Drosophila melanogaster: one gene and its partner. The protein of the gene in region 1 interacts with the protein of each later gene in a biochemical or structural test. Each region holds a gene or a part of one and is shown in the gene's direction. Other genes may lie near its edges.

Region 1 (6,925 bases):
ATCGACTATAGCTAAACAACGAACTGCATTGAGCCATTTTATAAGATTCAGGGCCTTAAATGAGGTAAAGCTGTATAACTCCCCATTCGACATATGCAGAATCGTATTGTACCTCAAAGCATGCACACTCCTAATATAGCCTCCTCCACTTTTAGGCACAGGAATTCGCACAGCAGTCATTTTTATCCTGCAGCTGTCCTCTGGCATCTTAAAGCGTATGTTTAGCAAATAATACTTGTCCCAAGTGATAAACACCGACTGGTCATCAGATGCCGCAACTAGACAAAACCCACATGCTTGGAAAAGTGCATCATCCATGACCAACCATTGCTTTAAAACCATATCTTGAAACTTATTGTACGGGTTCATGGTTAATGTGATTATAAGTGCGACCTTGGCGAGTATAAAGCGGTAAAACGTTATTTATTTATAAGGAGAGTTCCTTAACTAATCTTCATTTGTATAACAACAAAGACCCACTAAGCACATCCCAGCATTTTCGGTGCTAATCTCACTATTACGAGAACAAAAGCGTTAGGCAAACTTAAAGCCGAGAAATCGGTCGGGCGGTTTAAATTTAACCACTATATTTATTGCCAAGGCAGATACGTTTTTTTATTCGAACGAGTCATAAGCAGATACTAGACCCTACAAATATAATTTTTGCAGTCGATTTGTAGGGAAGAATGAAGACATATTTTTTTTTAAATAAATGTTTGCCCAAAGCAATTATATGTTTTAGTTATTTAGTTTGTGATTTTGGCCACAATTTCATTTGAGTCAGAAATAATCAAATCAAACACTGTCGCCAAACAAACTCGTTTTTTTATCGGCGACGAACTAAAATGTTTGCAAAATGGGGAAACGAACACTTTCAAAAAGGCTCAAAAAATTTCGGGATCTTCACAACAAATTGCATTGCTAATCGGTCCAGTAGTTTTTTATTATCACTTTCACAACTTGAGAAACATGGTTTGGGTCACATTGTGTTTAAGGTCAAGGAAAGACTGAACTGGTTCAAATAGATATAACGGCCTTAAGATTCTCTAAGCCGATGCTACAGTTCCTAGCGAAAGACATGACACTTGCGCTATTCATTATAGATTTCACTGGAAAAATATGTGTATTTTCGTGTAGTCACGTCGAAGTTAATTTACAACTAATTCGTATAATAAGACGTTAAATATTTCTTTTAGGTTTTAGGTCTTTTTGGGTTTAGGTGGCTTATATTTCATTATTGAATTTCGCCTATCTTTCCAAGCCTATAAATTTTACTTATATTCACTCTAATGTGAAAGCTATACATTTACACATTTCCACTTCTCTGAAGCTTAAAGCGGACGTCCCAACCATTTTAACCGATGTTACACTTCCTCCTGGGTCACCCTTTGTCTAATTTGGTAACATTTTGGGCAATATCAAGAAGCCAACTCTTAATATACCCTTAAAATTTTTTTATTATCAGAGCATGCCTGATATACTTTACAAAATCGGAAACGCTTCCTTCTACCTGTACATATTTTTCATTGAATCTAGTATAGTATACGATTAAAAAATCCGTAATATATTCGAGCAGAGGATATAAAAATTATAGTACAGTGATTGCAGTTTAAAATTCTATTTCGTCCCTATCTGTGAAGACAACTCAGTTAGACAATGTAGCATTTAACAACATTACTTGATCTAATTGTCATACTTCACATGGCTATTGAAGTGAAATTAAATGCGATTAGCAGTGTAAACCTGTCATATCGTTCATACCGTTCACATCGCTTGTTTCGTACTTTAAGAAATTGCGTTGTTGAATGTTAACACCTACGTCAATCTGATTCCACATCACTATTCTGGAAAGGAAACTTATCAACTTAATATCGAAAATAAATAATTCTAAATTGGACACCATTTCCAAGTGTTCCATAAGTTGTGCTGTGCCTTTGACGCTGTCTTGCCTTATATTGGCATTTATTATTTTTATTGTAAGGTATTTTTTAGTACATTTGTTTCTTGGATCCAATAAGGCCGCACTATTTTCCTTCTTTTTGCTAGCAATTTCCGGCGAGGTATGTGTAAAATATTTCTACTCCACGTGATTTTAATAAATCTTTTTTATTTTAGCGGTTATATTGTTATCAAATTTTAAAATGGTAGGTGCTATAGAAAAGCGAGCATGGACTCGAAACATTGAGCATTTATTTATTAAGATAAATACTGAAATAAGTGATTTGGTCGTGCCGAGAAAATGATGTGTTCAGGCGTCTAAAAAGTTTGGCTTATTAGTTGCATTTGTTTTTATTTTTTGCAGGGTTTCGTTAAGGTAGTCAAGAACAAGCAGTACTTTAAGAGGTACCAAGTCAAGTTCCGAAGGCGTCGCGAAGGAAAGACCGATTACTATGCCAGGAAACGCCTAACATTTCAGGACAAGAACAAGTACAACACTCCCAAGTACCGTTTGATCGTACGTTTGTCCAACAAGGACATCACAGTACAGATCGCCTATGCTCGCATCGAGGGTGATCGCGTGGTGTGCGCTGCTTATTCCCATGAGCTTCCCAAATACGGGATCCAGGTGAGTTTTCCCACTGCGTTCTGGCGTACTCAACTTGATGGCCCATTATATTTATTTAAGGTTGGATTGACCAACTACGCTGCTGCTTACTGCACAGGCCTGCTGGTCGCCCGTCGTGTCCTTAACAAGTTGGGACTGGACTCCCTATATGCAGGATGCACTGAAGTGACTGGTGAGGAGTTCAACGTCGAGCCTGTTGATGACGGCCCAGGGGCATTCCGTTGCTTCTTGGATGTTGGACTCGCTCGTACTACAACTGGTGCCCGTGTGTTTGGCGCTATGAAGGGAGCAGTTGATGGTGGTCTAAACATACCTCACTCTGTGAAACGCTTTCCTGGATACTCTGCTGAAACCAAGAGCTTTAATGCCGATGTGCATCGCGCTCATATATTTGGCCAGCACGTTGCAGACTATATGCGTTCTTTGGAGGAGGAGGATGAGGAGAGCTTCAAAAGGCAGTTTAGCCGATACATCAAGTTGGGCATTCGTGCTGATGATGTAAGTACTACATAGTTTTTCAAGACGTCCACTTAAAAAATTACAGCTGCGTTTCGCACACGACGCTAACTGTGCCATAAGTGGACAACATAAAATCTGCAACCTATGTTCGAAGTTTTTCTCCCAATGGATCACACTTCCTGTTATGGTTACACATTTTATACAATTTATAATCCAAATACTCGCGAATTAAATAACATAATAGGTTCGTTAAAAAGCATATTTGGACAATATATGCCTTGATTATGATCACCAGCCGAGCAGATAATGCTCCTGTTGCCTTAAGGGCTGATCTTATTATGCTTCGTGCATCTGTATGTTGAATTTCAGATTCCGAGCTCTCAAAATTTATGTTGCGTATCGACTGTGTTAGCGATCTTGATCCATATTACATATACTGCTTTGTCTTTCAACCTGGTCCATACTTTTCATCAAATATTGTATATTTAAATTCAGATAACCATATATATTATTTAGTCTTAAAAATATGAGCTTTAACAATTTGATCTTGATTTAATTATTAAAAGTCTAATTCATTACTTTGGTTTTGCAGCTTGAGGATATCTATAAAAAAGCCCACCAGGCAATTCGTAACGACCCTACACACAAGGTCACCGCTAAGAAGTCTTCTGCCGTTACGAAGAAAAGGTGGAATGCTAAGAAACTCACAAACGAGCAACGGAAGACTAAGATTGCAGCTCATAAGGCAGCATATGTTGCCAAGCTGCAGTCTGAAACTGAGGCTTAAAAGTGTTCGTCACCAGCTTCAGTTTATATTGGTGTAAAAATAAATAAACAGTTCTAATGACACCAGCGACAATTGGTAGTAATTAACAGCCATTATTTGGGAAACTCTTCTTAAAAATTTCAATCTGTAGTGTGCGGCCGAGAAATGTGACAGAAATGGGGCAATACTAGTCTAAATACAAAATTACCTTAAGTGAGGAATGAACTGAATCGGTATTAAATCTAGAAAAACCCCACATCCCTCCGTACAAATTACAAATTAAGAGTCATTAATGGTAAGATGGGAACTTGTGTACTTAATTCGGTTTCGGCCGCAGTGGAACACTATTTCATCAATTCACTGCTTAACATTTCTCTGGTAGGTAATGTATTCCAAAGGCAAATTAAGACAAGTTAATTCAAATACACAGCCATTTCTGGCCAGAAAAAAACAGCATAAAAAAGGGCCACGCTCACACTTTACTCTTGCCAATTACTATGACGAGTAAACGCCCACAGACTGCCCAGAGACAAAAACGCAGCACAAGTTCGAGCCATGTTGGCACGCCCACAAGTTGCACAAAACTGCCACGCCCACATTTTGAACCATATATTTTTGGCCATTTGCCAAAAAACGTTTTGCCATGCCTACTCTAACGCCCAAAAGCCGCCGAACCGGTCACGCCCACACTTTGGTACAATTTTTAAATTTTTTCTCATTTTACTTCTTAATATCTATCAAGATCCCAGAAAAATAATTCAATTTGAGTTCGCATTCACACTAGCTTTGTTTTACTTGTGTTCCCATAAGCTGAGTATCTAAGTCGATCACTTGAACCAAAGACCCTAGAATTCTAGTGTCTTTGCTTGAACTATAGCACTCTCCTGATAATTTTTTTAACATCTAGTAACCATAACCTCCATTCAAATGATATTCCCAAAGAAAAAGGTTGGTCTCCAGAGGAGGCTTTTTTAAAAATTTCTTTTATAATTTAATTTTGTAAAGATAATTATTAAAACTCCGTTCGCTTTACGTGTGTTTTTTTTTATTTTTGCACTAGGAAATTAACTAAATCTTTTGTCTTTGTGTTTTGTTTACTATCTCTTTTGTTCGTTGCGTAGTGCTGTTTCATGTTGTTTTTGTGCACTGCACTGTGGATCCGCTCTCTCGCTCTCCCAAACAAAATCTAAACCTCTAATCGTGCAAACTGATCTCTTTCTGTACTATAAAGTTTAATTTTAATTTTGCGTAGCTAGAGATAGTTTTCGTTGAGCTGATGATCTCCTTTCTGTGCTAGATTCACATTTTAATAGCCTTTAGAGGAATTTCCAAAGCACAAGAAAGCCGCTAATGGTTGGCTGCCTAAGGGAAACGCCACGCAGCCACTGGCAACAGGAATCCACAGCTGATCACAGTTCTAAATCGTAGCAAATCCACAAATGTTGCTAACATCGGCAGCGGATGGGAGTCCAGCTTGGGATTGCTAAAGATTCCGTTCTATCCACCTGTCCCGATTAGTTTATGACCACAAGTGAATATTGAGTCCGGACTACCGGCACAAATGACCCCTCAAAAATACAATTTTCTTACACAAGTGGCATTTCATCTTTTAAAATAACTGTCCCTAATGAGCTTTTTTTTAACCATTTCCATATATATTTATATTATGGCGGTAAAATACTTGGAAACCAAGGATAAAAATATAAGAAAAGGGGCCCGTCCAGACCACTGCACCATCCGCAGTGGTCCATGACCTTCCTTAAAATACTAACGTCTATCAAAAAGATAGAGCCTTGCGTAGCAAACTAACTTATTTGAATTCTCATAGCCTTTCCTTTGCATCCCATATAGTTGTGTTTACTGAAGTTTTCCCAGTGTAATGAACTGTTTTTCTTAGTTCTGCTCGGTACGAGTTGCAGCGGCTAGCTTAAAGAGCTTGTGGGTTCGTCCCACCAATTTTATATTTTTGTGATTGCCCGACCGAGAAGAAGACAGGGTTTCAGATTAAAGTAGCTTTATTGAAGTATTTTACAGCTGACTCCTCCGGTGATCGCCGTCACTTGCGCCCTTGCTCCTGCATCGCCTTGCCATCGTTGTAGTGAGTTTCCTTGACAACGGACCACGTGCCTGTTCGACTGGGCCTTCTTTGGTCTGTGCGTTTCTCATTGCCAGACAGTTTCACAGTTCGATCTTCAGTGACTTCTCACTGCCGGACGTTCTAGCCTTCGCCTTAACACTCTATTTAGACTGTCCTGACCGCGCGACTCGCGCCGGTACTCTTCTCGTCAATCCCCGCATACGTATGGCTCCTCGCGTGTTGTGACTAACTGCCCATTATTTCAACATCCGAGCGCACGACTTACCGATATCCCAGTACAGAGTATACACGATTCGGTACCACCCGCCAAGCCGCCAAAACAGTCATTGCCCCTATGAGCTGATTCACTTCATTTTAGGGGGGAGGAGTTACCGATATCACAGTACAGAGTATACACGATTCGGTACCACCCGCCAAGCCGCCAAGACAGTCATTGCCCCTATGAGCTGATTCGAGTTGCAAATGCAGACACAGCACTTTGACAGGATGTGATTGCGACAATTCTCGGTTAAGAAACAAGAACCGCCGCACCAGCACTTCGATATATACATGTTGCCAACGAACACTAGAATTCTTTTGTAAACATTTAGCTTAGCTTAAGTCTGAAAAATAAAAGCACAGTTAGTTCCATTTTGGACGACAAAAAAAAAAAAAAAAAAAAAAACAAGCAAACGTGAATTACAAATAGCGCTGGACACCGAAGCAGTACATGGTTGAACAGGTCACATAGGCTAGTCAAATCATACTTTGACATGCCGGACGCAACCGAACTGAATCGAATAGGTCACTAAAGCGCAATGTGATGGAGATTCACAAATAATAATAAAAATATATATATATATAAATATAACTAAATAAGAAATATGTAACGGAACAAATATACATTCCCTATTTTGTACACTTCTCATTCTTACCTTACAACCGAAGAAAACTATGAACAATAAAAAGGAGACAATAATATTGCCAAAATAATTCCAGATTTTAAACACACACTAAATCAAGGTATAGAAGTCTACACTCATCGAATACAACAACA
Region 2 (4,800 bases), on another chromosome or scaffold:
CTTTCGTATTAAGGGTATTGTTGCTCAGAATTTGCTCCAGCAATTTGAGAATGACTAAACTTATTGAATTTTATTTCTATTAATATTCACACTTATGCGCGAATTCTTTATGTTACTATAATTACAAATGCAGTGAACACCTTTTATAAGGAATGTATTATCTTATTTATTATTGAAAAATTTACTTGCCCGAATATTCCTCGCAGTGTATTTTACGTCGAGAGGAAGTGACGTACCTGTCACGATCGAGATTGTCACATTTTGGCAAATAAATTTCACTTGATCCCTCCACGCGGTTAAAATTAGAATTTAAATTAATTTAGTGCCCGAAGTGACCAATTGTTGCACTGCAATTGCACCCGAACCGAATCGTTTCAAATCCGATCGCGAAACGAACATAATGCTAATTGAGCGGGACAAATTCTGGGGTGCGAGCGAGATGGCTAGATGCGAGAGGAGGAGGGGCTGTCGTCGCTGAACTTTCGCTCTTTTGTTGGCCATGTCGACGTCATTAAAGTGCAGTTAATGTGCCAAAAGGTAGAACAAAAGTCAATGTCAAACGGCAGCTGCTCTCATTTTCCTCGGCAGTGGAAAAGCGGTTGAAATAGGGGTGGTTAACTGGTGGGCAAGGGCGCGGGAAAATCAAATCAGAAACTGCATTTCCGCAACAAATCGCCGCTTGACAGTAATTACCGTCAACACGAGCGGTAATTTATGACTATCGAATTGCGAATCTTGATACCCTGTATGGAAAATTGTTATGGGATTTTAACGGAATCTGCCTGCAAATAGGCTGGGAAATGCGAAAATGGCGAGTAGAGGGTATTGCCTTTGCACAGAGACACAGAATTTCCAACTATTCACAGGCATATAAAGGATTTAATGGTTCCCATTAACTGACTGGCCATGAATTTTTATAATTTGTTGGCCCATTTTCACCACACAAATGCCTAAATGGCATGCGATTTAAATACAGGCGAGCTTTTAGACTTGCCCACTTATTAATCAAGAGTAAAGTTCACAAATATAATTCATAAATCTTATTAAGTAGTTCCAAGCAAATATGTGGTTTCATCCTAAATGGAGTACTCCGTCAGATTTCTGCTGTCCGATCCGCTGAAAATTGATGGAAATTGGATTACAAATAGACCGCACTGCACCTTTATCGGCCACTCATAATCAAATGCGTTTCATGAATGGAAGGGCAAAATAAGAAAAAAAAAATAGTAAAAAGCAAATTCAACAAGCGTGTTGACAAAAAGCGCCAGCGACGTCACGCGATTTGGGGGCAATCAAAGGGGCAAATAAAACACCGCATGTGGCAAATTGCGCCCACTGTTGACCCCAGCAGTCGTTGCAATTACATAGACAATTACATTAACATTAAGGCGTAGTGGTCAGCAGTTCTGCAAATTAAAATCGAATCGAATCAATTGAAAAGCCACCAAACATGCGAATCAATCTGCTGATGGGCTAGCAATTCAATTACGTTGTTAGCAGACAGCAAACTAAGTGAGCAGTCAATAGTGTTCGGTTCGTCGACTTCATTTAAATTTTAAATGATCTTATCAGCTTTTTGAATTTCGAATCGTAACCGCCTAGCGCGCTTAAAATACAACCCTGTTTATTGTGAACCCACAACTTATAGTCACTCTGGCAAGGCCCGGTGAGCTGTCACTTAGCAGCCTTGCCACTTTACTGTCAGATCATTTTTCTCTCGCTTTCAAACAAGCCCTGTGTTATAGAGCACAAATCATTTATCAAAAATTTCGTATCTTATTTTCACAAATTTATCGCTTGGGCCAAACACGCCCGAAATCTAGCCAAAACCATCCGAAGTGGCCAGTAACGCGCGCCGATTGTAAACGGGTGGCAACTCCAGTAGAACGTTGCCGAGCTGCGAAAGTGTGCAAAAGCAAAACGAAGAGAACGCAGCGCAGCCGAAAAAAATTGAAGCAGCACTGCACGCGATATATTTTGTATTTTCAAAGGTTAAAGCCGCATTCACAGGCATCCGCCGAGGGCAAACGAAGTGCAAAAGTGCCGGCCAGCAGTAAGTTTTCAAAAATTTGCAGTCTCTTGTGTATTACAGCCGCAAAAAGTGTTGAAAAAATTTTGCAAGAACCGAAAAAAACCAAAAAATTTTGCACATCGTCGGCGGCTGCGACGTCGACGACAGCAGCGACGCCGCCTCTCTGCCGGCAGCGGCAGCAAAAGGGAGCAGCTGAAAGAGGAAAACCGATAAAATACAAAAAGAAAAGTAGAGAACGAGAACGAGAAAAACGGCGAGCGGCTACGCAACGCTGATGTTTCTTCTCTTTGAGAAAAGCGAAAATCGAAAGCAAGTGTGGAAATTATGTGTAAATTCGATATGTAAATTCGGCATGTGCCGTTCGTAGTGTGCGTACAAATTCTTATTGGAAAAGCGTGTTCATCGGTGTGAACGAACGAACGAAGCATTTCGGCGGCGAGAGAGAGAGAAAAAGAGAGCGAGAGCGCACACGCTTGGTGGTGGTCATGTGTGTGTGAGGCGGCGGGCTCACACACACAAAGGGAGAGAGACAAAGAAGAAGAGGAAGCACTGCGCTGCTGCGCTGCCGGCAAAGCCGACGTCGCTGCCGGCTTCGCCGCCAGCTGCATTTAGTGTTTAGCTAGGAATTATCTGGCCCCCAAAATAACTTCAAAATTTTCTTCAACTATTTTTTTTATTAGTGTGTCAATATATAGTCTCCCTCTCCAGATACAAAAATTCAAAAATACCAAAAACAAAACCATTCCATATTATTATTGATTACAGGCAACATTTGAAGCAGCAGCCGCCAAGCAAAAGACTGATTTGAGTACAAGGAACTAGAAGCAGGAACGCGAGGTTTCTGCCACTGCACACTGAATTGTGAGCATACCCACCCATACCTAGCTATATCTATAGCCCTAATATCTCCATTCTTCCCCCTCAGGAGCCCCAGATAACGCGGCAAACTGCAGTCGACGGGGAAAAGTCGGGAGTTGAAGGCTGGGCAGCATCAGCATCAGCAGCAGGAGGGACAGGGACGGACGGCGAAGAACCACCAGAACCAGAACCAAAACAAAGCGGATAAACCAGGAGGCACTACGTCTGGCGATATGGAAGATCTCCTCGTGGAAGTTCGGCTCGACAATGGCGCCTACTACAAGGTGAGTTGATTCAATTGGTGGAATAAAAATGTTGGTAAGGGGGTGACAAAAAAAAAGAAGGAAAAACAGAGGAGCAAGGAGTTGGGGCAGCAGCTGCCTCAGTTTCTAATTTCGTGGATTTTAGCTTTATTTCTATTAATAAACAGCAACATTTTGAGTGGAGTCTCGACATCATCGCCACCACCACCACCACTACCACTACCACTACTACACTAATACCAGCACCATCGCCAATCTGCATACACCAACGCACTCACGCACACTGCGTTGTGGGGGTGCCGACGTCGACGTCGATGTCGATGTCGACGCGGACCGCGCCGCCCACTGCGCTGCCCACTGACGTCGTCGTGCATTCGGTTTTGTTGTTTTGATGATTTCCCTTTCTTGTCGTTGCAATTTATAAAGATAAGATCCGATTAAACCATCTTATATCGCGGTTAAGTGATTTTCGCGGATAGATTACAGGTATACGAGGTTGTTAGATCTCGAATCATTAGTCTTATGAACGAAGTTCAGTCTTAAATCCCATTCATAATGCTAGCTTTTGATGTGTTTTATTGTTCACTGTTTAAACAAATTCAGCAAAAATGTATGCTTATAGGCTTAAATTTTCCAATGATAATATAGACATTTTGGAAACCAGATAACAGTGCACTTAAGAATATTCTTATACTTTCAATTATTGTTCTTAGTACTTATCCCCATCATTAGCTAACCTATTCTGGAAACCTTCTGGATATGTATAGTAAGGTAGTGAATACTTTGCATAGCGTTGCCTTTGATTTCAGTGCTTGGAATCAAAACAAGGGCAATGCACATAAACACACTCGACTAGAGCGACTTCCCTGATGCTGATGATTCAGCTGTCGGCTGTTTGCATTTCGGATAAGGTTCTACGACTACTCGCTTATCGGAGATATACGGTTTCCCTCGCTAATGCCATTGCAATTCTCGATTTCACAATGGGACGGGATTGGGGGGACTATCGTAAAAATATATTTTATATACTTATGCATATACACACATCCGAATGGAGGTATATCATAGGCAATGGCCACATTAATGACACACATTTTTCTCTCTCTACTCCTATGCCTTCCGATGCTGGCCCTGTCAATGCTCTTGTATTTCATCCGTTTGCTGCCTGCCTGCCGCCAACAAAAAACTACAACTGCAAACTAAAAACTACGACGACGACGACAACAACAACAACAGGGCCAGGTGACAGCTGTCGCCGATGATGGCATCTTTGTGGATGTGGACGGGTAAGTTTGTTTAAACAAACAAATCTGCGAACAGGGCAAACAACAACAACTAGAGCGTATTTTCTAACTAATTTGCAACGATTAATACAATCAGAGCTGCAGCAGGAGCAGCAACAACCACCGACGCGACTTCTTGGCATCCGAATTAGAAATTAGAGATTCTGGGCACGCATCATTTGTGTCGTCCGCCATCCGCCAAACCACTTCCCGCCGAATCCCCTACTGCGGACTCACTAATTTGGCGCAATTTGTTAAACGCCAGACGCCGCTGCAGCAGTTTCTGTTGCTATTAGTTGATAAAAAAGAAAAAAAAAATGAGCCAAATCAAATAAAACTGCTGACTGACAGACTGACCAACGCC

What was found.
Region 2: the proteins of RpL5 (region 1) and Fmr1 form a complex in vitro, tested with the Drosophila melanogaster proteins (2 studies listed by BioGRID).

Annotation. Positions count from the first base shown.
Region 1 is NT_033779.5:22,531,756-22,538,680, reverse strand, and holds RpL5 (ribosomal protein L5), read left to right. Parts: upstream 1-1,796; 5' UTR 1,797-2,141; coding exon 2,142-2,144; intron 2,145-2,302; coding exon 2,303-2,566; intron 2,567-2,626; coding exon 2,627-3,064; intron 3,065-3,087; exon of another isoform or gene 3,088-3,223; intron 3,224-3,617; coding exon 3,618-3,812; 3' UTR 3,813-6,402; downstream 6,403-6,925. Other genes in the region: CG17490 (uncharacterized protein), read right to left, coding at 1-369. UniProt on the Drosophila melanogaster protein: Component of the ribosome, a large ribonucleoprotein complex responsible for the synthesis of proteins in the cell.
Region 2 is NT_033777.3:10,107,069-10,111,868, reverse strand, and holds the start of Fmr1 (fragile X messenger ribonucleoprotein 1), read left to right. Parts: upstream 1-1,747; 5' UTR 1,748-2,053; intron 2,054-2,260; exon of another isoform or gene 2,261-2,345; intron 2,346-2,645; exon of another isoform or gene 2,646-2,797; 5' UTR 2,798-2,893; intron 2,894-2,957; 5' UTR 2,958-2,979; coding exon 2,980-3,174; intron 3,175-3,526; exon of another isoform or gene 3,527-3,639; intron 3,640-4,389; coding exon 4,390-4,439; intron 4,440-4,800. UniProt on the Drosophila melanogaster protein: Polyribosome-associated RNA-binding protein that plays a role in neuronal development and synaptic plasticity through the regulation of protein synthesis of mRNAs.